Linked DNA regions of Elephas maximus indicus. The protein of the gene in region 4 binds, or shares a complex with, the protein of the main gene of each other region. Links are inferred from orthologs where the notes say so. Each region holds a gene or a part of one and is shown on either strand. Other genes may lie near its edges.

Region 1 (7,408 bases), about 69 Mb from region 4:
ACGAGGGGCCACCAGGATGCTCCAGAGGGAGTGGGCGGCTCAGCCTGAAGCAGGCTCCCCACTGAGAGGACTTCTCTGCCCTGCCAGGTCGCACCTCTGTGGTGACATTATGCTGTTAAACTTTCCAGGAGAATCAGTCTTGTCTCAGCCACACTGCTGGTCTCCCGAAGGGCAAGACCCTCCTGGTGTCTTAGCAGTCCTCAGCCCAGGCCCGGTGGTCCCTGCTAGGCCCCAAAGTCCCCCTCCCAGCTCTCTATATCTCCCGCATGCTTCCTTCCCTCGTCATCCTTCTAACCATGCCTGGCACATTTTAAGTACCTAATAGGCACACCTGAAGCCCTGGTGGCGCAGTGCTTAAGAGCTCGGCTGCTATCCAAAAGGCCGGCAATTTGAATCCAGCAGCCACTCCTTGCAAACACTATAGGGCAGTTCTACTCTGTACCACAGGGTTGCTATGAGTCAGAAACGACTCGACAACAATGGGTAATAGGCACCTAAAGACCACTGCATGTGGTAACAAAACATTTCTTTTAACCTAGGACCGTGAGCTTCACAGGCTTTGCAGGAACACCAGGGCCAGTGGGGGATGGAACACCCTGTAGCTACCCAGTCGACATGGCTTGGTACCCGTAACTTAGGCATAGGTTCCACGGGTTTAAAACGAAAAGGACAAGGCCTGAACTCACCTCTCATATATTCGATGGTGCCATCAAGCACGAGGTTGAGGAGGGGGTCAAACCCTTTCAGGATTCCACTGGCTTGTAGAAACCACCAGAAGGAAAGGAGAAACGAGAAGGCGTGAGATCAATATCCATTCTTTGGATGAGTATCCTCGGTGCCCCAGGGCCAGGCAGGTTCACACTCCCACAAAGGACCACCTTTCAGGGGAAGAGGAAGCTGGGGACTAGGGGGAATGGGGAGGAGCCCTGAAAGGAGAACAGGGATAGCCAGCTCCAAGCAGAACGAGACGAGACAAGCCAACGAGCAACGGCGGAAGCCATTCAGCAGGACAGGGACCATTTGGTGTGCAAAAATAAGATACTCCCTGTCTGGCCCTTGATGGAGAAGTCTGCCCGCCCCTGGAGTGGACGGCCACCTGACTGCCCAGGTTTGGGCTTTGACTCTGTGGCTTCCCACTGTGTGACCTCCTCAGGCTCCACCTCTGCAAAACCATTGCCACCGAGTCAATTCTGACTCCCAGCAACCACGTGGGACACAGTAGAGCTGCCCCACAGAATTTTCTAGGCTGTAATCTTTACGGGAGTACATTGCCAGGTCTTTCTCCCACAGAGCGGCTGGTGGGTTCAAACTGCTAACCTTTTGGTTAGCAGCCAAGTGCTTACCCACTGCACCAGCAGGGGTCCTTCCTCCTCTTCAAAACGGGGCTCATAATGACAGCCACCTCACAGGGTTCAGATGAGCATCAAAGGCAATATTGCCAGCCAAGCACTTGGTGGGGGGCTGGGGATGCAGTGACCCTGCTCTGCCCATGGGCACCGAGCAGAACCTGGCCGAATCCTGCCCTCAGAGAACATACCATTTCACCACTAGATCCCCGCAGGGCAGAGTTAAGTGCCACGTTAGCAAACATAAAGATGCAGGTGGCGACATGTACTTGTTGTTAGCCGCCCTCGGTCGCCCATACTACCCCACACAGGAACAAAACGCTGCCCGTCCTGTGCTGTCCCCACAATCAGCTGTGGATCAGACGTTTGGATCCACAGGGTTCTCACTGGCTGATTTTCAGAAGTCAATTTCCAGGCATTTCTTTCTAATCTGTCTTAGTCTGGGAGCTCTGCTGAAACCTGTTCATCCATCACAGCAACACACGAGCCTCCACAGGTCGGTGGTGGCTACACATGAGGTGCACTGGCTGGGAAATGAACCTGAGTCGCCCACATGGAAGGCAAGAATTCTATCACCGAGCCACCGGTGTCTTCCCCACAGGTGCTACTAGGAGCTTAAAACAAAGGGGACTGACCTGAGGTGGAGGATCAGGGAAGGCTTCCCAGAACAAATGCCTTTGAACTGGGAGCAGGTTAGCCTGGCAGTTCACCTGGTGAGAGTATTCCAGGCAGGAAGCAAACGTGTGCCTTTCCAGCCCTGTGGCTACAGGTGCTGCTCAGACATACAGATTTAGATTTTATCCTGGCACAATGGGGAGCCAAGGGAGGGTTTAAGCAGGGAGCAGAGATTCAAGTTCTGTTTTTCACAGATTTCTCTGCCCACTGACTGGTGATTGACTGCCGGACTGGGGTTCTTCACCAGGAGCGATTCTACCCGAGAGGATACTTGCAATGTCTGGAGACATTTGTAGCTGTCATCATTGGGGGGGGGGAGGGGGAGGGTTCTACCGGCATCGAGTGGGTGATCGGGGTGCTGCTCAACTCTCTATAGTGCACAGGACTGCCCCACCCCAGAGAACGATCCGGCCCTCCAGGCAGCAGTGCCCAAGCTGAGGAACTCTGGTGTAGAGGGAGCAGGAACGGAAGCCCCTGGGAGGGAGCTGGAGGGACAGGACCGCACAGGAGGCAAACTCGTGAATCCCAATCCCGGCTGCGTCACTGTGACTTTGGGTTAAGTCTGTTCGCCGCTTCGTGCCTCAGTCTCCCCATCTGCAAAATGGGCACAACGGCATCTACCTCCCAGCGCTGTTAGGAGGACTGTATGAGTTAGTTCGCGTGCAGCCCTTAAAGCAGTGTCTAAGCGGAGAAAACGCTGCCTAAAAATTAAGTTGTTATCGTAGCTCTTGTTAATTATTTTAAACAGCTATAAGAGGGTGCTGGCGGCAGCGGCTGCCTCACCTTCGCGGCCTCCTTGAAACTTCACCCGGATCGTCTTATCGATGTACTTGGATAAGTCCAAGATGCTCTCCTTCTTCTTCTTTTCTTTGTCCTGCGAGGAAAGCAGAGCGCGTGAGGCGGAGAGAACGCCCCGCCAGCCCCACGCCGCCCGCCCGGTCCCGCCGTGCGCCCACCGCCATCTTGCCGCGCCGCGCCGCTCTGCGCAGGCGCCGCCGGCGCGCCCTTTGACGTCACCCACGCGCGTACAGGAGCCGCGCAGCCCCGCGCCTGCGCGCAGCGGCGCCCGGGGCGTTGCTGGGAAACATCAGCCGACGGCTGCGGGGACCGGCCGACATGGCGGTGGCGGCGGCGGCGGCGGCGCTGGCGCGGCTCTGGGCGGCCTTGTTTCTCCTCGCGGCCCAGGTGAGGGCTGCGTCGTCCCGGGAGCCCCGTACGCTGCGGCTCCCCTTTCCCCGCGCCCCTGGGGACCCTCTCGGGATCCAGCCCGGCCCGGCTGGGGGCAGCTTCGGGGACCCCGCGCCCCCCGTACTCCGGCCCCGCGGGTCCGGGGCCCGGAGTGACCTTGGGGGCTCGTCCCCAGCTCCTCTCCCTCCTCGCCGCGGAAACCCCCCCTAGCTGCAGTATCGCCCAGTTCCGGCCCGGGCTAAAGTTGTGGACCCCCGTCCTCTCCCCCCCGAGTCCTGCTTGTCCGTCTCGGGGTCTTCCCCAGCCGCCGCCCAGGACCCCGCTCTCTGGCTCTGCGGCCTTGGCCCAGTGACTGAGCCTCTCCGAGCCTCAGTTTCCTCTTATGCGAAATGAGCGCGATGCTAGCACACGCCCCGGGGGAGCGGGGAAGGCCCTGGAGGGGGTCAGCGCGGGATCCCCGTGCCTGGCAGCGTCGCGACAGGGCTCAGAGCCCAGCCCCGGACTGGGGGGAATCCTGCGCCCCATCTTTTACTCTGTGACCTTGGGCAAGGGAGTTCCTCGCTTTGAGCACCAATTACCTGTCTGCACAAGGGGGGGCAAGAGCAGTGTGGACCAGCAGAGGGCTGAATATGTTACTTATTTGTCGTTTCATGTTAAGGATCTCAGTTTCTTGTGGGGCACCGATAACAAGATAGCTGATGCTTGCTGTCTGTCATACCCAGAAAACCAACCATAAGTGCACCTTTTTTCCAAACCTCCCGTCTGTCCTGGCTTACGCAGCAGCTCTGGGAATGGTGCGCGATCAGCGAGACCTCGCTGCTGCTCTTTAACGTTGAGGACTCCTGCCTGACAGCTCTAACTCCTCACACGTCTTAGGAGCCTGTCCACCACCACCTCTGCTGGGGCTCCCCTCCCCTCTCCCTGTGGTCACTCAGGTCCCTCCCCCCGAATCCCTCCAGTCCACTCTTCACACAGCAGGGGCCATCTTTTCCAGAAGCGTGTCAGACCTTGTTGCTTCCAGATGAGAGCCTTTGCGTGGCTTCTCATCTTTAGAAAGGTCTTTGTGATGTGACTGCTCACAGAGCCACTTCCTCCCTCCCTTCCTGACTCAGACAGGATGCAGATTTTATCGGTGACACTTTGCTCTCTGATCTTTTCTATTACCCTGGAACTGGCTTTCTCCACTCCTGGCCTGGTTAACCCCTAGTCATCCTTCCCGTCTCTGCTTGCCTGTTCCTCCCTCCCAGAAGCTGTCCAGGATACCCTCTCCCCAGCCCCCCCTTACTGCCCACATTGTAGCACTGAACACGTGGTACCTGCCTGGTTATTCATCTTCCTCGCTCACCAGCCTGTGACACTTTGAGGGCAGGGACATTGAGCTCTCGAGATGTTTTGCATGAGATTCAGAAAAGAAGAGGTGGATAAAGAATCATGGGAGTGCCACAGAGGGCATGACTGGTGAATTTGCCTGGGAAAGCTCTTAAGGAGCAGTGACACCTGAGAAGGGTTTTGAAGGATGAATAGGAGTTTGTTGGGTTGGGAAGGGAGAGGAAAGGTATTGTAGGCAGTGGGAGTAGCATGACCAAAGCCAGGAGGTACAAGAGCTGATGATTATTTGAGGACTGTAGTCTGTGCATAAGATGGTCTGGTGCTTGGAGAGGGAGCTTACATCCAGAGAAAGGCCCTTCCCATGGGTCTGAAGGAGGCGGCAGGGAGGGGCCAGTTGGGGGTGTGGCTTCAGGCAGACGGTCAGATTGGGCAGAGTCCACAGGGCCCACAGCGCTGGGGAGTTGGCTTTATCCTGAGCAAGGTGAGCCACAGAGAATCTCTGAGCAACTCAAAGAGAGCAGTGGGCCCTGCTCTCCCTGGACCCTGGTTAAGGCCCCTTGTGGGCACAGTCCTGGTGCTGTGGGGCGTCTTCTCAGTCGTGTAGTGGAAATGGGTATATTTGACTCCTGGCTCCCAGGAGTAAGATTAACTCTCCCGCTGGGTGGAGGCTGCTCAGTGACAGTCCTGAATTCACAGGCCACTGTCTTGTGACCCTGGACAAGAAAAGTGACCTCCCCAATACCACTCCCCACTCCCATTTACTATGAAAGGTATATGAAGTGGAATATGAAGGCTGTCCTGTCGCCTCAACCTGTGCCTCCTCCACCTTAATGTGTTTTTTCCCATGATTCTTGGGTCCTGATGATTTCACCGTCTCCAAGATTTCACTAAGTGTTCTTGGAAGGAACAGTCCTTGGCTCATGCAAAGGGTGAACATGCTCAGCCGCTCACTGAGAGGCTGGAGGTTCAAGTCCACAAAGAGGCACCTTGGAAGAAAGGCCTGGTGACCTACTTCCGAAAACTCAGCCACTGAAAACTCTGTGGGGCACAGTTCAGCCACCAGGAGCAGGGTCGACTCCCTGGGCACTGGTTTACTGGTTTTCTTGAAGGAAGACTGCTCCATAACCTGGCTCCTTGGTGTCTTTTAAACCCCTTGGATGTCGGCCACTTCCACAGAGATTCTGGAGTTTCCTATATCTGCTTGGTAACTGTCAGAAGGCAGACCCCCATCCTTGTTCCTGTCCTAGGTATCTCTGGTTCCCCAGGCACAAATGGAGCAGCCTAGAGTTCAGGGTGTTTGTAGAATGTGTGTCACTGAAGAACTGCCAGCTCCCGTAACTCAGCAGGCGAGAGGGTGGCGCCTTCTCGGTGTTTGATAAAAGCTCGCAGCCCTTTTTTTAAGGGAAAGCCAGTTTGCTTTGCAGATTTTGTGAGGGCAATCCGTGAAGCCTACTTCTGCACCCTTAAACGAGCTCTGTAAAAGGAAGTTTCTGTCAGTTCCCATATTACACGAATGGGCCCTTTCACCCACAGCCTGGATCCCGTGGAGCAGGCTTCAGTTAAGGTTCTGTGGGAACCTTCTGGTCTGCTGGCTGTGCCGCCTGTTGCCACTACTCAGCCCATTATAGTGAGAAAGCCACAGACCACAGGTACATGAGGGGCACAGCTGTGTGCCGGTACAACTTTATTTACACAAGGAGAAGGTGGGCTGGTTTGGCCTGTGGGCTGTAGACTTCGGACCCCTGCTGTGGAACGTGAGTCCTCTCAGAGCAGCCCAGGCAGAGCCTCACTGGATGCCGGGGGCTCTGACTGACCGCTGGGGCTGTGGGAAGGGTGCACTGCTGACTGAAGGGTGTCTGCGGGGGAGTTGGGGACGGGGACCCCTTATCCTGCCTTGGGGCCCAAGAGAACCTTGGTCACGTCAGCCCTTGCCTCAGCCCTTGGTGAAGCGCCTCCCGTGGCGTCAGCCCTCCCCAGTGGTGGGGCTCATCTCCCCCTTGTCCAGGCTACCCTTTGTCACCAGGGCAGGGACCAGGGGACCCCGAGGAGCAGGGCGCTCATCCCTGCCCTGTGAGAAGGGCAGGGGCCACAGGAGCACAGAGAGCAGTGCACCACAGGGACTCCAGGGCCGAAAACTTGGGGACAGCCCCAAGGGTTATGGTGTGACACGGTGACCAGCTCATGACTGCCCTCCTGAGGCCCATTGTTCCCCTGGCAGGCCCAGGGGGTCTTCCCAGACCCAGAGGTGGGACTGCCTTGGGCCCCTTGTCCTGGGCCACATATAGTGGAGCAGCCAGGACCTGGGTCTGAGACCGCAGCCACTGTCCTTGTCACGCGCTGGGGCAGGGACTTTGGGCCTTTTGGCTGAGCTGGCGCGCGGGTGTCGGGAAGGCGGGAGAGCCTTGTGGGCACTTGACTCTAGTACTAGTTGGGTCCTGTGTGCCCAGAGCACAGGGCAGTGATGTGACCAGACACCTGCTGTTACCCTGTAAAGTGAGGAGGCGCTGGCCAGAGGGTGCCACCTGGGCCCGAGCCAGCTGCCCCACAGGTGTGTGGTGCCGGTGGCCCCAAGCCTTCCAGGCGCCAAAAGGCCTCTGGGATCCTGACCAGCCCTGTGGTCACACAGCACCCTGCAGGGGCCTGGCATGCCATCCCGCCTCCTGGGAAAGCCGCCAGCCTTCCTGGGTCCAGTGACCCCAGAGGGCCCCAGGAGGCAGTTGGTCCCATTTCACAGATGTGGAGATTGAGAACCAGCAAGGCAGCTGTGGGGACAGACAGGTGTCCAGGTTCCTGGGAGGCTCACTTCCCTGTCACCTTCCCTCTCTGTGGCTGTCCCCACCCTGAACCCAATGGGGCATAGAGGTCACCCT
Region 2 (7,001 bases), on a different chromosome or scaffold from region 4:
CTCAACAGTGATTTCTAACAAAATGAAAAAGGCCAAACAAGCTAATCTCTAGGCCCAATGCCATATTTAGTAGCTCAGCTTTAGCGCCCTGACTACCACAACATCCCTTTCCCATCCTAAGCATACTGGTCCATGGGCATTTAGTCAAACAAACAGCATCAGGAGTTAGATCTGTAACCACCGTCCTACAAAAACGGGCTACTGTTAAATAAAACAGTATTAGCTTCAATGTGTCTTACCATTGTTATATTATTTCCATTTAGCAAAATCTGATCTAATTTAGTAATCCTTCTTCCTTCCGGTGTGATTTCGCTAAATAAATAGATAAAATAGTCAGGTTAAACAGTGGTAATAAAAGCCAACATTTTGAAATCTTTCCATCCCTAAAAAGGTTATTCTTCTATGTAAGTAAATGTGAGGTGAAGCAATTATATCAAAAACTTTCAAAGATCAAGATTATCCACTGGGTAATGTACACTCTTCCTTAAAGGTAAGAGTGAACTGACTGGCCTAACATCCACTAAGTTCGATCTTCATTAAAAAAGCTGAAACTTGCCAAGGAGGCCAAATACGAAATATTTACCAGCTTCACTCTTTTTCTTTAACACATCCATTATTGCTCATCTCCATCCATTAAAAACCAAACCCGCTGCCGTCCAGTCAATTCCGACTCACAGTGACCCTATAGGGCAGAGTAGAGCTGCCCCATAGGGCTTCCAAGGCTGTAAATCTTTACAGAAGCAGACTGCCAAATCTTTCTCCCCCAGAACAGCTAGTAGGTTAGAACCACCAACCTTTTGTTTAGCAGCGAAGCGCTTTAACCACTGTGCCACTAGGGCTTCTCCCAGCCATTAAAGCAATTTGTAATCAGTTCAATTTTGAAAGCAGAGATATTGGTCATGATCTATATAATTAACACAACTGAGCCATCATTTACATTTTATGTTACACAGTTAAACGTTTTTATTACCAGTCTTTTATTTGACCTGAGCAGTTTTTAGTATCATTCATCTTAAAGATTTGTCTCTACTAATTTCCTAGCAACATGATAATAATTATATTAATAACCCTCTGATCTAATTTTACTAGCATCAGTAGATAAAATTTCCATCTTTAAGATAATGCCAACAGGCAATATTTACTTGTAAATCATTTTACTGACTCGATAGTATTAAAATTGCCTTAAATTAAGAAGAGCAATACTCCTCCAAACTTTTCATTTTTAACACTACTTACAACTCAGTGACGTCTTCCAATACCATATCTGAAATTTGGTGTTAGGAAAATAAACATACCTGTCTGAATTTACTCTGTCTTGTCTTTGTTCAATTTTAGTGATAACATTTAACACAATGACTTAAATTTTCAACTCTCGTTATTGGTAGAAACTTTATCTTCGGTCAGTACATACCTGCTGCTGTCAAGTCGATTCAGTACATACATCTCTTAAAATGTTACCACAAGTTCCCCAAGAGTGAACTGATCTCTAATATAATAATTAGTAAATACTGATTATCTATAGTTCTTACTTACGTTATTAAATACCTAAGAAAAACCTATCCACCACCTTTTAAAAGGATACTGACAAAGTCATCAAAGCCTAGAAGCGTGCCAACAATTTCCTTATCACTCTTCATCACAATGTGAATTCTTGATCCTATACACTTGTCCACAAGCTCTAAGAATATATTGAGGAAAAAAAGAGAGAGGAAAAAGATTATTTCAGCAATTCATTACTTCAACAAATATTTGAGTGCCTACTGGCACTCAATAACTTGCATATAGTGAAAGACAAACCAGGAAAAATATTCATTCAACAACTTTAGCTCTTATATTACAAATCTCTGTTCGATCATTAACAGAAAAGTTTCCCTTGATCTCTACTTAACTCTCCCTTGTAGCAATTTACCATGGTTGCACTTCTGTGTTTTAGGTTATTTAATAATATATGAACTGCCTACTAGACTCTAAGCTCCACGAGGGTAGAGACCGTGCTTGTTTCTGCTCATCACTGTATCCCCAATGGACAACCCCCCCCCCCGCAAAAAAAAAAAGAGAGAGAGAGAAACCGGTTGCCGACAAGTCAATTCCAACTCACAACGGCCGTGCCTGCAATCAACCGGGCACTCAAAGAGTGTCAAATGAAGGAATAGAAACTTTTCAAGCACAGCCTCGTCTATTAACTTGGTCACTCTTCCCAGTCTCGAAATATTAGGGGAGAGAGGAGTATAATTATCTTCATCAGAGATTCCTATCACTACCTGCCTCACCCAACCGAGGGCTATTCTCTGAACTCTGACAGCAGCTTGAATATCTACTGAGCCAGTTCAGCACTATTCGGCACAATGCTCAGTATCCATTCCCTCCACTGTTTTCTGCATTATTTTAAGAAAAAGACTGTGATTTGAATTGCTGAATACTGCTGAATAGTGTCGTTATGATCTCTGTGGTGGATGGCGCACAGTAGACGCTCCAATAACCGTTTGCTGAATGAATGACAACTGGAACCAGTTTCCAGATTCCTCTTTTAAATTTCATTCCTGACCTTCCCTCAATAACCGGCCAGACATAAAATAAGACAAAGCCTACTCTGAAGATCTTAAATGCTAGGTTTGGGGGGTGGGGGGAGGCCGCTACCCAAGACACGATAGAGACGAGCTCACAACAACGGCAGGTTACACGTTCAGTTCATTAAGCATAAACCTTTCTCCGGAGACGGTTTGGTTTGGGGAGTCAAAAGTTGCTGCCTCAAGCGAACCTATCACGCTGAGGCAGGAGCGGTCAGGGGCCACAGACTTGGAGCAGAAGGAAAAAGCCGGATACACTTTTCCCCACACTTCGCCACCTTAGTCGCAGCGCCTCTGCCCCCAATCTTGAACTTCAGCTCCCCGCCCGGCCCCCCGTGAAAGGTTACCTAGCGGCAGCAGCTGCGACGGGTTGGTGGTGGCGTTAGCCGCCATGGCTGCGCCGGAAGTGGCCTGCGTCTATCGCGGTAGGGAGGGCAAGTTTGAAAGAGCGCGCTTCCGCTTTCTTCCCCTGCGCGGGCAGGCCTGACCAATCTGAGGCCGAGAGAGCGATCGGGCCCAGGCCCTGTAGATCGCGCACACTCGCTTCTTTCGGGTGAGGTATCTATGTCCGCTGAACTTTTCTCTTAGAGAGGTACCCTCTCTTTCCTCGAAGTTTCGGAGGCATGTTAAAGATATCTTGGCTTGTGAATAAATTCTCCTTCTAACCCGGAAGATTTTGGAAAATTTTAAAGTCTTTAATTTCGTTGTATTTTTCTTCAGAAAGTTCTCTCTCTTCACAAGTCGGGCATCTTTCTTCAGACCAGTAAGTCAATTCATTTTTCTCGCCACCAACTCACTGTGTTGCAATTTTTGTAAAATCTGTTTTGTTAAGGGGGCTTACTATTTCTTTTAAAAGTCCAGTGGATTGAAAACCCACAACCAACCTTTTTTTTTTTCACTTTTCTGTGGTGGGGATTTAATTTGTTTCTTTACTAATTGATTTAATTCAACGTGTTTACCATGTTACATCTAAGAATTTAATTTATACTATGTGGCTTTTTTTTACTCTTTCTTCAATGAACACTAAGAGCAACCACGAGCTGTCACTCTAAATTATATGTTAATGTCATATGGGAAAACCATAGCACTTTGTACTTGTTTTGAAAATAATAGCAAACAAATTCCCTGCCTTATTCTATTTTATATTCATGTCCTAGGAACCTCAGGCAAAATAGTCTAAATATGAGGGATCACAAAGAACATCATTCATTCATACAGCAAATGGTTGTTAAGCACCCATCATTCATTCATTGACAGATATGCATTACACCTACTCACTTGTCAACATGATTAGGTTCAAAGACCAAGTTGTTATGCAAAAATCGTCATTAATTGAAAACGGAAGATGCCCACATCAGATTACAAAATGGAGAATGACTGCATCATTATGTAACTGCCAAAGGACCATGAATCATGGCCCAGTCAGGTTGACACATGAACTTAACCATCACAGCCATTGCTAGTCTCACCTAGCACCTGATTTAGGAAATAATATTGGAATCATTATTCCCTGTCCTTGAGCATAGAGAATGTGACCCAGCTGGAGCTGGGCTCAGAAGGACTTACAAGGGCACATCAACTGGGCCCTGAGGCATAAAGACAATAGCTAGGATAATTTCGGAAAATACCTTTTAGTGAACCTTTCACGTAAACCATTCAAACAGAACACAAAAGACTTTCCACTCTTTATCTTTTTGTATTAGCCTTTAGTGAATAGAAAATTGGTTGGACCAATCGAGACCCTCCTGAGTGTTATTACTGAAACCTGTATCAATGATTGTTAAGAAAGGCAATTCAAAATGTAGGATCACAGTTTCTAGCCAATCTGTGAAAAGGTGAAGCTTTCAATGGTTTTGCCCGTTTGTGATGTTAATATATACTGATGATTCTGTAATGTTCCTTGGACTCGGGCAGACATGGCTGTGGCACCATGCTTGTCCGTTTTCCCATTCTTGCCTATTCTGTAATATTTCCTTGGACTTGGACAGACATGGCTGTGGCAGCATGCTTGTCCATTTTCCCACTTTTGTCTATTCTGTAATATTTCCTTGGACGTGGGCAGACATTAGCTCTGGCAGCATGCCTGTCTGCTTCCCACTTTTGCCTTTTTGAATATATGCTGATAAAACTTCCTTTTTGCTTTACTAAATTTTGTGATGTTTTTACTCTATAACACACCTGAGCATTCATTACTGCTAAAAAACAACAACCCATTGCCCCCGAGTTGACTCCGACTTATAGCGACCATATAGGACAGAGTAGAACTGCCCCAGAGGGTTTCCAAGAAGCGGCTGGTAGATTAGAACTGCCCACCATTTTGTCAGCAGCAGTAGCTCTCAACCACTACACCACCAGGGCTCCCAATCCCTAGATTCTCAACTTGGCAGATGCATGTTTTCCTAGTGGAAGAAAAGAATAACTAGTGTCACTGTTGGACACTGCTTCCTCATGCAGCCTGAACCAAATTCTAGGCATTATTATGTTTCTGCTACTTGATAGAATTTTTAAAAATCAGAAAAATATGCTTTTCAAAGGGAGCCTGGTTTGCACTTTGTTTTCCTCTACAAGAACAGAATGAACATTAGCAATTTTCAGTGCATTTAATGAAGAAAAAAGAAAATCTCTTTAGACTCTATAGAAGGAACTATTGTTCATTTACATAATAGTGTTAATGAAGATTGCAGGAGGGGAGTGATTTTATTTGATTGTGTTCTTTCCTGATGAAAGGCACAAAAAGAAACAACGGGTCAATTCCAGATGGAGACTTCGTTTTCAATCTCAAGGATTTTTCTTCCTTTAGGTTGTTTACAGAGTAGACAAAATAGAATTTATAATTCATCATGAAATGTATGTAACTAGAAGAGGCTATCTGATGTACTATGTGTTCAGAAAGGCATTCCTAATTTTTCTCTTGGAGATAAATGCCATTATAAAAATACAACCAAAAGTTTCCTTTTAAAATAATGTTTAGAAAGTATTCAGTTATCTCAAATTGGTATTTCAATTTCACTAATCTTCTTCCAACACTTTTGAAAACAAAGGAAAAATTTATTTTCCCAGCAGATACTTGTCCTTGTGAACAATACCTTGAAAATGGATTCATTCTGTATTAACACAACTCACATAAAAGCTAATTTAAAGAATTGTTATTCTAAACTAGTAAATGGACTGGTCTGTACATTCAGAAATGGATAAAATCCTGGAAATTCCCTTGCATATTTTCTCTCCCGTTTTGCCCAGTAATATATTTCCTTTGTTTATAGCATTCTTCTAAATGACATTTTTTTAAACATTTAAGCAACATATCATTATGAATACATGATTTAATCTTAGTTGAAACATCTAGGATGCAAAGTGACTCACATTTTTATAAAACTGTTACTAGATCTCCTGGACAGTGAATTAAACAAGCTGGCATTACACTGTCAATACAGAGTTCTAAGATACCTTGTTTTTAATCTTTTTAAAACAACGCTTAGTGTTTAATTTTAGTGATGCCAGTTGTAGAGAATACTGAAGCAGATGCAAAAAAACAGTTAACATATTCTGCATATACGGAATAGTAGCTTCACTCACAGTTGTGAGCCAATGCTGAGAATTTTGAAATATAGAAAAGAAATGGATAGTAACATCTTGAAAAAATCCATAATATTTTTATTAGTATTAAGACATTTCTACTGAATTGTAGAAACCAAACTTGATTTTAGGAAGTCTGCTGTTTTCTTCAGCTATGCTTAGAATTCAGATCCTTAAATTTCAAAGCCAGGAGTAGAAAATATCAACTACTAAGGTTGCCTAAAATAAAAAAATAATAAGGGATGTGTAAATAGTAATGGTAAACTCCACAGCCAGTTATGGTAGTAATCTCAAATTCCATTTGAAGTGGGCACCTATTCTTCAGGTTATTCCAAGGGTGCCCTGGATAAAACTTGCTGAATCTGTTGGTACTTCCGTTATTCACTTTAAACTGATGGAAACGATGCTTTAAAAAAAAAGTAGTACAATCACTAAAGAAATATAAAACCCTGGTCACAACCAATCCCATATGTTTCGTGTTGACCAGAATGCTAAGCCCAGAAAAGGGCAGAATGAAAACAATACTTTAAAAAATTCAGCGGACTAGAATAATCAGGTGACAGGTCTCACTGTAAAATTCCTTTATGTCAAGGATGTTCTGCTTCAGGCCTTAAAAGGCTTCCAAATTCCCATACATAATATTTAAATGAGAGGGAAAAAATCTAAAACAAGTAAAAGAGAAATCTTGAATAAACAAGTAATTCAAAAGGCTGAATAAACAGATACATAGCTGTACCAATATGCTTCCAGGTTATCAAACAATTAAGAGTGCAGGGAGGGGGAGACGGGGCCAAGATGGCGGAATAGCCAGATGCTTCCCGTGATCCCTCTTACACAAAAGATCCGAAAAATCAAGTG
Region 3 (7,258 bases), on a different chromosome or scaffold from region 4:
TAAAAAGCAAATACATCACCTTGAGGACTAAGGTGGGCCTGACCCAAGCTACGGTATTTTCAATGGCCTCATATGCATGTGAAAGCTGGACAATGTATAAGAATACTGAAAAACTGATGCCTTCGAATTATGGTATTGGCAGAGAATACTGAATATACCACGGACTGCCAGCAGAGCAAACAGATCTGTCTTGGAAGAAGTACAGCCAGAGTGCTCTTTAGAAGAGAGGAGGGTAAGACTTCGTCTCACATACTTTGGACGTGTTATCAGAAGAGACAGGTTCCTTGAGAAGGACTTGATAAAGCGGCAGCAAAAGAGAAGACGACCCTCAACAAGATGGACTGACACAGTGGCTACAATGATGCACTCAAACAAAGCTACAATTGTGAGGATGGTGCAGGACCGGGCAGTGTTTCATTCTGTTGTACACAGGGTCGCTATGAGCAGAACCAACTCAGTGGCACCTAATAACAGCAACTTCAAGTCAGTCTCTCTAGACAAAGGTAGTCTAATCTACATTTTATAAAGCTTCCCAAATAACTCCTATATGTAAGTAGCTCTCAACTGGGGGTGGAACATTTTTGATTATCATGATGGGGGAGGATGGTTCTACTGTAAATAGAGCCCAGGCATGTTGCTAAACATTCTACAATGCACAGGACAGATTAATGATCAAAATGTCAACGGGGGTTAAGAAACCAAGCTATAAGCCCTGAAATCAAAAAACCATTGTTCTTTGGTCTTAAAGCAACAGGAGTTTTAAAAACTCTTCAAGGTATAACTAATGAGAACCAACAGCTAAGTTGGAATATAAATTATAACTTATTAGGGATATGCAGGACTGGACATTTTGCTCTATTACACATAAGGTCACCATGAGTCCAAGCTGAGTCAATGGCAACTAACAAAAGGCATACTTTGTTCCAATACGTACAGAATTTGAAAACAACTGCCAAAATCTTGAAATGGTTGCTATGCTAAACCATGAATTTCTAGTCTTGGCCATGCAAATGACCACAAACAAATTTCTTCAGTGTTACGGGTCCCTCACACGGTTAAACTCTTTGTTATTCAGTACGGTTTTTAAATGATAAAATAATCCAGGTGACATAAACGTCTTTTTAAATTCTATTACCTACTATGCCACAGTTCAGTGAGAGAGAGCCTGATGTAGCATAAAGAGTACTCACTTGGGAGGCAGGAAACCTGAGTTCTAATCCCAGCTCTGCTACTTAATTAGCTGCATGGCTTGGATAACTCATCACTTCACCTCTCATGGCCCCCGGTTTCTCATCTGCAAAATAAGGGAGTTATGCTAGATGATCACTGCAGTATCTTCCTGCTCTAACATTCAGTGAGTCTATGCAGTAACACCAATAACACACACACAAGTTTCCGAAGACTCCTGCACAAAATTCAAGCAAGCAGACTTGCTGGACACCACTAACAAAAAACGATTCCAAGAAGAGGCTTGACTTCGCTGGTTGATGTGTGAGAAATGTACTACGAGCTACAACACTTGGTCAAACAGGTACATTCGTAAACGAAAGATGTAAACTACTAAAACTTTTTTTGGGAACAATCTGGCAATGTGGATCAAGGCCCTTAAAAATGTCCACACCATCTAACCTAATAATTCCATTTCTGAGACTCTAGTTCTGAAATACAATTTTTAAAAAATTCATTCAAGTATTATCTGGGACATTAAAACGAAGCAAAAACTCACCAACTGGGAAACAGCTGAATAATTCATGAAACCTATGCAACTACAGAATAGGCAGCCAGTCAAAAGAAGATCCAAACCCACTGCCATCCAGTCCATCCCGACTCATACTGACCCAATATGACAGAGCAGAACCGCCCCATAGAGTTTCCAAGCCTGTAAATCTTACAGAAGCAGGCTGCCACATCTTTCTCCTGTGGAGTGGACAGCATCTGAGCAGTTTAACCACTGTGCCACCAGGGCTCCTCCAAAAGAAAATACAAAATTAGAAGCCATTATCTAGGAAGTTTTTTAATGGAAGTGGAAAACTGTATATACTCTTCAGTGAAAAACATAGGTATAGTCTTAGTTCAAGCAGAAAACAGCACATACAAAAGCGAAATACAGAAACTGTGGATGGAAGTGTTCAGTAAATATTACTTTCTTCACTAAAGGCTTCTGTATTTTCAATTTTTCTACAAGAGGCATATATTACTACCGGGGGTGAGGGGAACACACTGTCACTAACAACATTATCTGCACCGTCCCAATCCCAGACACCCCAAACAAAAATACCAGCTATGTACGTGAGCAAAGACTATTTCTGGCGGTAGGAATTGCCACCATACAATTGTGGGTGTCCCCCACGTGACAACTCCATGAGGCAGACTGGAGCAGGGAAGTGCAGCTCTTAATTTCTGGGGATCAGGCGCAGCCACCGGGACGTCAGTGTAGGCTCCCCAATTCCCTGAGCCTGTGCTGGTCCGCTTTCTAACCAAACTCCTGGGTTAGCGTCGGGGTGCCCCGAAGGGCTTAGAAAACCAGGAACAGTCTCGGAGGCAAACTCGGCGGGACCCAGGACCGCCATTCCTCACCTCCCGGTCTCAGCGCTTCGCGGGCAGTGGTTCCAAGTAACCTGGCGCCGACGACCGGAGATCTCCCGGCCATTAAAAGGGCTGAGGAGAGCGTGAGGGCACAGCATTCCGTGGGGACCCGACGCCCAGCACTCTCTGGGGCGGGCGCACCCTCGCCGGCCCCGAACCCTGCTCCCGCCAGGCCCTTTCCGGTGCTCCCGGCCTGGGGCTGCACCAGTAGCCGCTCCCCGGACCCTGCTAAAGCGACGGAACACCGAGGCCTCGAACCCGAGTCTGCGCGCGACCCCCCCCCCCCCCCCCATAGCTCGCGTGGCCGCCCGGCTCACCTCGCGGCCCGGACCCAGAACCTCTATTCCAGACGCCGCACTAGCCGGACCTTGGCAGACAATCGCTGCGAACGCCGAAACCGCCGGGGCAGCGGTTCTTTTCCGCCTCAGCCAATCATTGCTTTCCTCGGCTACGGCAGCCCGCGGGGGCCAAAAAGGCCAGCCCTCACCGGAGCGCGCAAATCGAAGAGTTTTGGTTTGTCTCCTGGCAAAGCCGGTCTATGGAGTTAAAGTAGAAAGCGGCGGTGTTCTCTCTTAACAGAAAGCCGAATACTGTATTTTAAAACATAATAATAATAAACAAAACGAAACAACTCCAAAAAAAGTGAAAGTGATCGTTTACGCAGGAATTCTTTGCATAAATGTAAAAAAGAGCTTGAAGTCATAGGAAACTACAAATTACTCGGCAAGGTAATGACTTTGCGTGCCCAGAAATGTCTCTGAATAATATAATGCAAATAAATAAATAAATGAATGAATAAAGCAAACAGCCTGAAAATCTCTAAATCCACCTTTATGCTTTGATTTAAATGTGAGAAAATGAAGTTATTATTAGCAAGAGATTGTCTCCATGGCGATGTTAATTGATAGAAAAAGAATTAAAATCGCTAAAGTAACTCCTTGTTATTATGACATAAATTGGGTTACATTACAACAGTAGTTCTAATGGGAAATGTGTGCAGATATTTAAGTGCTGCTCTGGGAACTTTGGTTTGGAATTTTGCATGAATTCTCAATATTCTTCCCCATCAGTTTAAATCTTTGATTTTAATCCTGTTTATGATTTTCTACACCACAAACTAAGTGCTAATATCTTTAAACAACAGATCCTTAAACCTGTTACTATCACAGGATCTAAGATGCAGATTTTTTTTTTTTCCCCCTAAAGCAAAAATCAGTTCCCCTCTTGTAAGTTTCTCTTGGGTAACTCAGAAAAATATCAGCCTTTGAGTAATACATGGACAGAGAACCACTGAGGGTGATCTGGTGAAGAGAGACTTCCTTAAGACCTTCTATAAAAGCTCAGTTTGGATAAAGACCAAGCAGTTACAGATATAGTGAAAAGGTTGTACTTGAAGTTCTCGCAATATAAAATATAATGTAAATAAAAAGTCTTAAGTAGAGCACGATTTAATTCAAATAATTAGTTGCAAAGAACAAACACAATAAGATAAAAAGATATAAAACCCTTCACAGAAGATATCAAATTATACCACATTCCTCACTGGTATCACTTAGTTTTTTGGATTCATAGCATCTTTCCCCTTTATCACAGAGCCGTGGCTGAGCCATTAAGATTGGTACGGTGGGACAGTCAGGAATTTTGAGGGTATGGCTCGTCTACAGAGCAGCTTCAGCCTTGTCCAAGGGCCACTGATCTGTAAGGGCCAAACTAGACAAACGGCTCGGCACCATGAACTATCTCACAAGTTAACAAACTCATTAAAAATGGGACCATTCTCAGAACCCTCTCCCAGCTTAGAATCAGTGTGTTCTAATTTACAAAGCAATTTTCAGTACTTTGCAGGATTTCTCTCTGTGTGTGTGTGTGTGTGTGTGTGTGTGTGTGTGTGTGTGTGTTTCCAGCATCTTGTATTATACAGAGAAAACATGCAAGACTTTTTCTGGAATAGTAGTCCACAGAGAACTAGTCTTCAAAGCCTACACACAAAATAATTTGACAAGGTTTAGTTCAGCTGTCTCTAAAAAAAGAAAAACCATCTCTAGCACTGTTTATATGTGGGTTTCTGTCCGATAAACTAAAAATATAAGGATTATGAAGTGAGAAGTTTCTTTGTTTGAATTCTGCATCTTCCACTTCTGAATTGCAAAACTTTTCCTGGCCCAGTAAATACTAACTTATCTGAGCCTGTTTCTTTATCTTACAATGGGAAAAATAAAAGCCACTTTTATTACCCTGGAATTATGTGATAATCAAACGAGAAAAAAAATGTATACGAAAAGGCTTTATAAAGAGAATAGTACAGACATAAGCTACTAAGTAGGCAAATGCTGGTACAAAAATACTAAGACAAACTTTTGCCATTTCATTATATGTTCCGTCTTCCTGCAGTTCTTTGTATCCATGCCTTTAACTAGCTATCTCCTTTAATGGTCCATGTTCATAGGAGAATGCATCCTGTCTAGCTTATTTTATAAAATACCTGACAGTCCTGTGAACATGTGGGTAATTGTATTTTGATATTTATGAGGATGATGATAGACACAAACTTGGAATTGGATTGACCAACAGTCCCCAAAGTAGATTTTAATACATAGCCTCTATATTAAGCTCCTAAGAAAACTGGCTGCTCTTGTTTGAGCCATGTATTAGCTGATATGAAGGGCTGGCATGGACTGGGTGGAACCTCCTTTACTGGACCTTCAAATACTGAACAGTAAAAAGCAACTAAACCCTAAGTTGTGACACCTAAATTGTGGGTATTTGGGGCCATTGTGATCTATCTTTCATCATGGGATATGAAAATTATTTGTTAAAGAAAAAGGAAAGTATTCTATAGTTGTTGGAAATCTTCTGAGAAGTCAATGTAAGCTTATTGACGGACATGCAAATTTCCCAGGAAATGCCTTTTTCTGTATACCTTTTATTTATACCAAAAGAAGGGATGTATTCTGTATCATAGGCATTAAGTTTAAGACACAACAGTTAAGGTGTTTAAATAGATGTTCAGACTTCACCAGCCACCATTCTGGTATGACTTGAATTTCAAGAGATGTACTCAGGGTCTGAGGTACCATGAAGAGAATCTTCCAAATGGCTTACTGCTGCTCGTTCCACCATGAACTCCAGAAAACCTCTCTGAGCTGTATAATTCAGCGAAATCACTATGAAGCTGCCCTTGTATTTTAATCAAGCTGAACTTGAAAGGTGAACATTATAAGTGGGAGAAATTATTTATAATTTGGTAATAAAAGTTTATGTCTAACGGTCCAAATTTCACACATTGCTATGTGCCAGCCCTGAGATATAAAACAATTGAAGTTGCCTTTACATTTGGCCTTCTATGAAAGGTCATAAATTAGAATGATAGTGTTCATTCTCTTTCTTAGCTCACAAAATTTCCATATTAACATCTTCACCTCAAACATAAATGGTTACCCAGCTACAAAGAAAAGAGTCATATTGGCCTTTGTGAATTATAGTTTATGTTGGGAATCTGGGGTCCAGAAGGCTGTTCAGCTTTCGGTGAAGTACACCTACTTCAATAAAGCTAATTCTACCACAGTGAAACTAATTAAAACCGTATGGCCAGTTCAAAGTAAATAAACTACAGTATATATAAAAAAAAAAACTCAGGAGTATTTTAGACATGGTCAAATGGTTTCCAAGTTATAGCGTTCTTTTAACTCTTAAAAGCACATTTCTACATCTTTATGGGTTTTCCCTTCTAGAGTATCTGCTACCAAATTTGTTTAAAACACTACTTTCAATTTTCAAAATGCTTCTTTCAAATGTGGTTTTAACTGATCCAAAACCCAGTGCAGTCGAGTCGATTTCGACTCATAGCAACCCTACAGGACATAGTAGAACTGCCCCAGTTTTAACTGATAGTATGAAAAAAAAAATTTTTAACTACTAAAAGGCTAGGCACAACTAATTTCTATTATGATATGTAACTAAATTCATTCCAAAATATTAATGAATTGGACCGGTGCTTTGTGTTTAGACTTCCAAACAATGTTTATAGCAAAAAAACCCAGATGTCTTTGATTTTCCAGGGTGGGTTATCGAATCCATATGTTTTTTTGCAGTGTAAATGTTTCTTTCACAAGCCCAGTGATGTAGTTAAAATGTCGCATTATAAACTAGTAGGATCAAGTTCACGAACAACTTCAGAATTTCAGGACTTTACCCAGGGAGAACGAAAAATTTGAAGACCAAATGCTAGTTTCAGTAACTATATTCCAGAAGCTATATTCCCCAATCCTGGATTAGTAAACACAATGGAGCTGAAAATTACCAATGTGTTTAGCATAAGCTCTTTCATCTCAACTTTTTGTCTTAAGCAATTGACTTTCCTTTCTTCCTAATATCAGGATAAATGGATGTCTTTGCAGTCATTCAAGTCCTTGCACTAAGAAGTACATCTTTTGTCACCTAAAACTCTCAGCAGCAAAGACTAGTTGTTTCTGTTGTAGCAAAACCTGTGCCAATGTTAGGACATGTTTATTGGAGGTCACCCATACCCACAAAGTGATCAGCTGTCTCACAAACACAACGTGGTCCTCTTTGCACATCTTTCCCCCCCAAATAATTTGAGGAAATGACAGCCTTCTTCATGAATTGTTACTAAAAAAAAATAAAGCAAAGGATAATACGGTCTTACCTGAAG
Region 4 (7,876 bases):
GACAGAGTAGAACTGCCCCGTAGGCTTTCCAAGGAGTGCCTGGTGGATTCAAACTGCCGACCCTTTGGTTAGCAGCCGTAGCACTTAACCACTATGCCACCAGGGTTTGCAGAGTCTGACCAGGGCAAATGATGTCATTAGAAGTATGCAAGGAAAAAGGACGTTTTTGGTAAACGCTAGGACATATACAACTGTGCAACAATAGGAGTGTAGATACATGTGTATGCATACAAGTGCACAGGTATGTATATTTACGTATACAGTGGGCATATACGTTAAAAGCTACAGCTGCTAACCAAAACGTTGGCAGTTCGAACCCACCAGGCACTCCTTGGAAACCCTGTGGGGCAGTTCTACTCTGTTCTATAGGGTCACTAAGAGTCGAAATCAACTCGATGGCAATGGGTTTGATTTTTTTTTTTAATATGCAGGTGTATATCGGTGTGGGCGTGTAAGTACGTATCCATATATATTCATATACACAATAAACCACATAGGCAGCAAAAACACAGATACTTATAAACATGTTGCAGGATTGGTTTACGGGGTGAAGGCTTAGGACCATAGTCTTGGGGGACAACTCGGTCAGTTGGCATAATAAGGTACATAAAGTTTATGTTCTACACCCTAGTTTGAGAAGTAGCGTCCAGGGCCTTAAGAGCTTGAGGGTGGCCATCTAAGATACAACTATTGGTCTCTACTCATCCAGAGAAAAAGAGAATGAAAAAACCAAAGACTCAGAGAAGAAACTGGTCCACAGGACTAACAGTCTGAACAAACCACAATCTCTTCTACCCTGAGACCGAAAGAACTAGATGGTGCCTGGCTACCACTACTCACTGTTCTGATCAGATCCACAATAGATAGATCTGACAGAACGGGAACAAAATCTGGAACGTAACTCAAATTCTTAAAAAGTCAGACTTACTGGACTAGTTGAGACTGGAGGACTCCCCAAGACTATCGCCCTGAGATATTCTTTAAACCTGGAACCAAAACTATCCCGTGAGGTCATCTTTTAGCTAAGTAATATATTGGCACATAAAATAAACAACATCTTCCGTGAGTACTATGCTCCTTTAAAAAAATCACCTATATGAGACCAGATGGTCAACACTTACTCTAAAACAAAGATGAGAACGCAAGGGGGCGGGAAACTAGACCATCGGAAGCACCGAGAACAGAAATAATGTGCAGTCATGGCCGATGCAGTGAAACCCAAACGGACTTGAATTTTTAAAATGTGAGTGAAGCGGATTGGGAAAAATTACAGGTTGAAGCCCTGCTAGAAACTTAATCTCCCTCTAGAAAACAAGGACAGCATGCACATTACATAACAACCAAGTATTTTGACTGTCAAAACTGGGAACAGCAGTGCCCAGCTCAAAGACGGTAGCCTGTGCCACTTTGAAAGTGTGTCACCCTCCACAGTCCTGGCAATAATTGAATCTCCCGATAAGGCTCCTGAAAAGGCTCACTATGCCTCTTCTGAGTCTCTGATCCCAGGGCTTCGATCCATAATCTTTCCCATTCTACTTCACCCAAATTTTGAGTCTTTCAGTTCTGCTTCCTCAGCCATGGCTTGAACCGGTTCAAAGTCCTGATTAGGATAAAGTAGACACAAAGTGTAAAATGTAACCAAGATCGCTGAACAAATTTTGTAGAAGTTGTTAAACGGGAAACTACTAGTTAAGTCTGTTTTCTCATCTGCAAAATAGGATAATAACAGTTCCTAACTCTTAAGATGCTACCATTATTAGCGGGGATTATATATACAAAGCACTCGGCACAGGAGCTCAGTGAATGTTAGCTATTGTTAATAATACTACTGTTGTTGTTAGGTGCCCTTGAGTTGGTTCCAACTCATAGCAACTCCATGTACAACAAAATGAAACACTGCCCAGTCCTGGGCCATCCTCATACTTGTTGCTATGTTTGAGCCCATTGTTGCAGCCACTGTGTCAATCCACCTTGTTGAGGGACTTCTGCTTTTTCCGTATCTTCTACTTTACCAAGCATGACGTCCTTCTCCAGAGACTGGTCCCTCCAGATAACAAGTCCAAACTAAGCGAGACAAAGTTTCACTATTCATTTCTAAGGAGCGTTCTTGGCTGTACTTTTTCCAGACAGGTTTGTTTGTTCTTCTGGCAGTCCATGGTATATTCAATATTCTTCACCAACATCATAATTCAAATGCATCAATTCTTCAGTCTTCCTTATTCTTTGTCCAGCTTTTGCATGCACACGAGGCCATAGAAAATACCATAACTTGGGTCAGACATATCTTAGTTCTCAAGGAGACATCTTTGCTTTTTAACACTTCAAGGAGATCTTTTGCAACTGATCTTAATTGACAAGAGTACTAGTAGTTAATACCAGTGCAAAGAAATAAAGGGAAGTTGAAAAAGAAAAAAGCAACTTGTCCTAAGTTCCACAGCGAGCCAGTATCATTCATTTTCTTCCTTACCTCACTCATTCATTCGCTCTACAAACTTTTACTGAATGCTTATTTTATGCCAGATCTCCCGAAATTTTAGGATGCGTAAGTTCGGGTCCCGACAATAAGCCCAAGGCTCTTAAACTACAATTCTAACGCCACCTCACAGGGCTGTCGAGACGGTGACGAGGTGTCAAACGCGAAAACACATACTGAACGTATGCAGGTTGTCAAGCGCTTTTACAGAATTTCCTGCTTTAACTCCATATACAGATTCTCATTCCTCCCCTCTCAGCGTGTGGAAAGGCCGGTTCGGGGCCACCTAGTGCAGAGGTCCGAGGAGAGAGGAGGATGAGCTGAGGGCCGAAGGCCGCCTACTCCTTCACTTACCGCTTGCAGCAAAGCTCCTTGCTGCTGTCCAGCTCCGGGGCCCGACCCCGCCGCTCCCAACAGCAAGTCATGCCGCTGCCGCTTGACTGGAACCAGGGGTAACTCTGGGCCCTTTCGCTTCTGCTGTTCTATCATGGCGGCAGCCACTCTCCTCAGCACCGGCACTGGCCGCGCCGACACACACAGGGACCAAGCGATTGGTTCCTACTTAGTTCTTCCCCCGGAACTTCCGGCTTGGAGAAACCAATCGGTTTCCAAGGCTCCTACCTGCGCTCTTTCCGGATAGTCTCTTGTTATTGGGCGGCTCTTCCTGACGTCGCTAGAGTACGGCTCCAGGATTGGCGGATGGAGCTGGAGTCTCGCCTAGGCGCGCTGTGTCTTGTGGGTGGAAGCGCGCTGAGAGGGTTTGGCTTTTCGCGCAGTGCAGTGGCTGGGCGACCTGGAGCTAACAGCGAGTAAGTGTAAGGAAGATCGGGGGTGGCTGCGGGACTCTGGAGGTCGCATCTCGGTAGTAGGGTCTGAGTTTGGCTTTTTTCAGGTGAAGATGCAGGTTGAAAAGGGTGGGAGGCAGGCCCGAGTTTGGAGCCCTGGTAAGTAGCAGCCTCAATTCTCTTTCCAGGCAGGAGCAGAGCTTTGGGGTCTCTTGGCGGCAGGACCCAGATCCTGCGGTTTCCCGGGGGTCCTTGCTGGCTGACTTTTTCAACAAGGGACTAATTGTGTTCAGCCCTGGGAGAAAAGGCCTGTCTCCCTGCCTCCACCAGTGTTCATTCTGACTGAGGAGGCGACACTTGTTTCTGCCACTGACTATGCAGCTTTTTGTTATGGCCTGCTGTGTGCCTCTGAGAGAGAGAGATGAAGAAAGGGTTCACCTCCGACTTCTTGAGAGGCCAGTATTGTTTAGATATTTGAGACCCATACCTGTGAACTAGGCCTTCTCTTAATCATCCAACAGATATTTATTGTGCAAAGCACTGGGGATACAGTATGAACCAACATGATCCCTGACCTCAGAGAGTTTGAGTCTGGTGAGGAAAAGGAAGTGCTACCTAGGAGAGGTAGCTGTTGCTCTGAGTGCCTGAAATAAGCAGGAAGACTTCTCTGAGAAAAAGATGCTTAAGCTGGTATCTGAGGGAAGAATTCTAATTAGGTGAAGAAGGGAAGGCGAAACATTCCATACAGAACGGCATGTGTAGAGGCCCTATGGTGGTGGGAACAAAATGACTAAAAGGCACGAACAGGCCAGAGTGGCTGGTACAAAGCGAATGAAGGAGAGTATGGCAAGATGAAGTGGAAGGTGGTTAGAAGATCACACTTTATAGGAATTTGTAGTTTTGCTTTAAGACTGATGGGCAGTCATTGAGGGTTTTGCGGGTGGCTTGATCTCTGGGTTAGTGGTGTGAATAGATTGGAGGGGAGCCCTGGGAGATGCAGATAGACCACTTAGAGGGATATACAGTAGTCCTTTGAGAGATGTTGGCAAGGATATTCTAGAGATTTATAGAAGGTGAAGTGGGTAGAACCTGGATTCAGGGAGAGAAGAGAGGGGAATCAAAGATAACGCCTAGGTTTCTGGCTTCTACAGCTGAATAGATGGTGTTACCGTTTCCTGAGGTTGGGAGAGTGAGTTCACCAGAGAAATGTAGGATTTCCAGGCAGAGTTAAGAACCCATTTTGAGACTGGAGATCATAAATTTTTTTCTGGCAACACCAGGCTTTTTAGTCCAGGCATGGAGAAAGCATATCCAGGTATGGCAAGGACTGTGGATTTGGCTCACACAACACACGTTCCAACTTCTAATGTACTGTATCTTACTGAAGAGCTGGAAAGCTAAAAACTATTTGACTCTTGAAGCTGAGAATTGGATTTGGAACTGAGCTAAATGTAGAGAGAAGCAGAGTTCAAGGCATAATTTGCTGACAGTTAATGGCAGAGGCAATGAGTTTTTCCAGTCAACAGTTCGCTGGTTTGGTGACTTTATGCAGTGATAGCCATTAGTTTCTTGATCTGGGTGGCAAAGCTGGTGTGCTTTGTTGTAGGTTAGGAGTTGTTCCTGCAAGTTCTGTCAGAGCCTGCTTCTATCACCCTTCTAGTAATTTTGAAAGCCACATAATACCTGGCAGTAAATCTCTTCTTAACCTAGCTACAGTTGATTCTGTTGTCTGCAACTGTTCCCCAACAGAGTAGGGGTACTGCCAGATAGGTAAGCTATAAAAAGGTAAAGTTAAGGGTATTACTTGAATGATGGACTGGAATCTAAGATGGACAGGGAAGAAAGCGAAGAAAAAGGCGAGGGCTGATAGATGGGAAGAAAATAGAGGCCAGTACCTCAGGGTTCTTATGTGGTCAAACAACAGTAGTCTCTTCTTGGAGATACCCATTTATCCTTAAAGGCCTACTTAGTTGTCATCTCTGAACTTCCCTGCTTCTCTCAGGTCTTTTCTTTGTTCCTTGTTTGTTCATTATCTTGAACCTAGCCATTACTTTAGCACTGACCACGCTGTGTTATAAATAGTTTCATCATCATCCCTACCAGACTAGGAGATTTTAGAGGATAGGGACTGCGTTGAAAGGGTAGTTTAGTGGCACGTGTGCTTAGCCTTTGGAATTGCCTGAGATTTGTTTCTTTCTAGCTGTGTGGCTTTGGACAAGTTACTTCATTTCTGCAAAATGGAGATACCTATTTTGTAGAGTTTTTTTAAGAATTAAAATTAGGTTTGTAAAGTACCTAGCACAAGGCCTGGCATATAAGCATCAATAAATATTGTGCTGAGTTGATGAATTAACTAACAATTTAAAATAGGGTAACATCAAGTACTTCAGTATTTTCAGCAGCCAGTTATGAATTTCTATGTGCCTTATTCTGTGTTAGGCACTGGGGATTGGGGGCGGGAGGATATGGTGATGTGCAAGACAAGGGCATGCCGACAAGAATTTCACAATCTAGAAAGGGAGGAAAACATGTTCACAAAGAGGATGATAGGATTTGAATCCCATCTCTATCATTCATAGTTTTGTAATCTTGGGCAAGTTACGTAGCTTTTCTTGTGTCTTAGTTTCTTTATCTCTAAGATGGCAGTGATAATTGCCATCTCATAGGGTGGTCAAAAAGAGGATTAAATTGGTTAAGACAAGTAGAGCTCTTAGATTAATACATGGCAAATCGGAAACACTCAAATTTTAACTGTTGTTATTAGAGTACTTGGAAGGGACCTTAGGGATTATTGCCTGAAAGAACAGTGTGAGGCAGTAGAGTAAGTACTGGTCCTGGGTTTAGTAACAACTCTGGTAACTCAGCAGCCTTTTTCAAATCACTTGACTTCTGTTAGCCTCAATTTCAGTTAAAAAAAAAAAAGCTTAATAATATAATTCCCTTCAACTTTTACATTTTATGAGTCTACCTTTTGTGCTTTTCCTGGCTTTTTACTATTCTTCTTCCCTCCTTTTGACTACTTTCTTAAGGAAGAAACACCTGTATAAGATAGTGAACTTGACAGGGAAGAAGCACGTGTCTAGGATAGTCATTTTAGAAATTTGGTGGGAAGGAGGAAGGTTAGGCCACCAATTTGGCATTTGAAAGTTTCCCATCTGCTGGCATATCCAACATGTGGGACTCAAATTCCTTCTCCTCCTGTATCTTTTAGACACTAGAACGCTTTCTGCCTTCTTTCTTTACCTCTGCTTGATTTATAGTAAGCTTTGTTCGTTCATTCAAGAAGTCTTTGAGTACCCACTGTATATCAGGACCTCAAGATTAAATAAGAAATGGTCCTTGGTTTCATGTTTGAATGAATGAATCCAGACTCTGCTCATCCTAGCTTTCTCCATGAACGATGCCCTTCTGATTACTCTATATTGATTCCTCCAGTGGTGGGACCTAGTTAGTGTTAGAGCTGTACTCTACAAAATTTAAATGTGGACTATGCATTCTTTTTGAGGCAGTGTAGCATAATGGTTAAGAATGTAGGTTCTGGAATTATTCTGTCTTTGTTTATATCCCAGTGTTAGCTGATACTCCTCTGAATTCTTTTACTTAGGTTAAAGTTAACATCTCTTTAATTCCTTCAGGCTTCTAGTTAATTAGTGTTATAAAAAAACAACAAAAAGAAATCTAAATCAACGCAGACTTAAAAACAACAACAAAAATCTAGACCAGGTCAGTATGGTAACACATGAAATGACATTCCAAAGAAGCTGTAGAGTATCTCACTAATTTAATATTATTCTAAAAACTTCTTATTTCTTGTTGGAAGGGAGGACAGGCTGTGTTTTTTTTTTTTTTTCCAAATGCGTGCACTTTTTTTTTTTTTTTTTAACTTTGAAACAATCACAAAATTATGGAGGTATAGTACAAATAACATTGAGAGTTAAGTTGTTGACCTGGGGCCCCATCACCCCTGAATGATTTAGTTTTTCCTACAAACAAGGACATTCTCCTACATAACCACAATATACTATTAAAATCAGAAAATTAACATTGCATTACTATCTCTAATCCTCCTCTCCACGTTTAGGCTCTGGATGTCCATTCTGGGCCACCCCAATGTGTGGACACCTTATCAGTTACCTTGCTCCTCCCCACACTGGGTTGCTCGTCTTTGCAGATTTCCTCTACAGCCAGCTTTGACCTGGCTCTGGGCTACCATTTCTCTACTGTTCCCCCTCTCCCTGACACTTTCCTTGCTGTGCCCCTTGAGGGTAGAAAAACTGAGTCTTTGTTGCTTCCCGACATTGTACAATTGTTTAAAGTGCTCAAATGAAATGAAGCACTCAGGGAAGATTTTCTGCCTTGAGAACTATTGCAAGGCAACTCCTAATGGTGCAAGTAAATTGACAACGATGAAAGTGCACCATTTGGAGTGGTTCTTTCTGACTAGACTATATCTCAAAGTTTTGGTTTTTTTTTTAACTTTTTTTAAAGAATCAAAGCTTTTTTTCCAACTGAAATCTTATACAGAAGCTTAATATATATATAAACTGGATCAAAGCAGAATATTCTGTCAAGCAGGCATTCCTCCAGTCACATCCACTTGCCCCCACCAGGGCCCACT

Evidence for each region.
Region 1: SNRNP40 (region 4) and LSM7 share a complex: the UniProt entries of both Homo sapiens proteins name them as parts of the U4/U6-U5 tri-snRNP complex. The link is inferred for Elephas maximus indicus from reciprocal best matches to the Homo sapiens genes SNRNP40 and LSM7.
Region 2: SNRNP40 (region 4) and LSM5 share a complex: the UniProt entries of both Homo sapiens proteins name them as parts of the U4/U6-U5 tri-snRNP complex. The link is inferred for Elephas maximus indicus from reciprocal best matches to the Homo sapiens genes SNRNP40 and LSM5.
Region 3: SNRNP40 (region 4) and LSM6 share a complex: the UniProt entries of both Homo sapiens proteins name them as parts of the U4/U6-U5 tri-snRNP complex. The link is inferred for Elephas maximus indicus from reciprocal best matches to the Homo sapiens genes SNRNP40 and LSM6.

What each region holds. Positions count from the first base shown.
Region 1 is NC_064821.1:3,112,626-3,120,033, forward strand, and holds the start of LSM7 (U6 snRNA-associated Sm-like protein LSm7), read right to left. Parts: upstream 3,006-7,408; 5' UTR 2,984-3,005; coding exon 2,978-2,983; intron 2,896-2,977; coding exon 2,805-2,895; intron 759-2,804; coding exon 687-758; intron 1-686. Other genes in the region: SPPL2B (signal peptide peptidase-like 2B), read left to right, coding at 3,138-3,206. UniProt on the Homo sapiens protein: Plays a role in pre-mRNA splicing as component of the U4/U6-U5 tri-snRNP complex that is involved in spliceosome assembly, and as component of the precatalytic spliceosome (spliceosome B complex).
Region 2 is NC_064826.1:94,010,418-94,017,418, forward strand, and holds the start of LSM5 (U6 snRNA-associated Sm-like protein LSm5), read right to left. Parts: upstream 3,018-7,001; 5' UTR 2,961-3,017; coding exon 2,915-2,960; intron 1,679-2,914; coding exon 1,583-1,678; intron 1,265-1,582; coding exon 1,237-1,264; intron 313-1,236; coding exon 240-312; intron 1-239. UniProt on the Homo sapiens protein: Plays a role in pre-mRNA splicing as component of the U4/U6-U5 tri-snRNP complex that is involved in spliceosome assembly, and as component of the precatalytic spliceosome (spliceosome B complex).
Region 3 is NC_064831.1:38,672,477-38,679,734, forward strand, and holds the start of LSM6 (U6 snRNA-associated Sm-like protein LSm6), read right to left. Parts: upstream 3,022-7,258; 5' UTR 2,904-3,021; intron 1,295-2,903; 5' UTR 1,191-1,294; intron 1-1,190. UniProt on the Homo sapiens protein: Plays a role in pre-mRNA splicing as component of the U4/U6-U5 tri-snRNP complex that is involved in spliceosome assembly, and as component of the precatalytic spliceosome (spliceosome B complex).
Region 4 is NC_064821.1:72,228,330-72,236,205, forward strand, and holds the start of SNRNP40 (U5 small nuclear ribonucleoprotein 40 kDa protein), read right to left. Parts: upstream 3,008-7,876; 5' UTR 2,963-3,007; coding exon 2,828-2,962; intron 1-2,827. UniProt on the Homo sapiens protein: Required for pre-mRNA splicing as component of the activated spliceosome. Component of the U5 small nuclear ribonucleoprotein (snRNP) complex and the U4/U6-U5 tri-snRNP complex, building blocks of the spliceosome.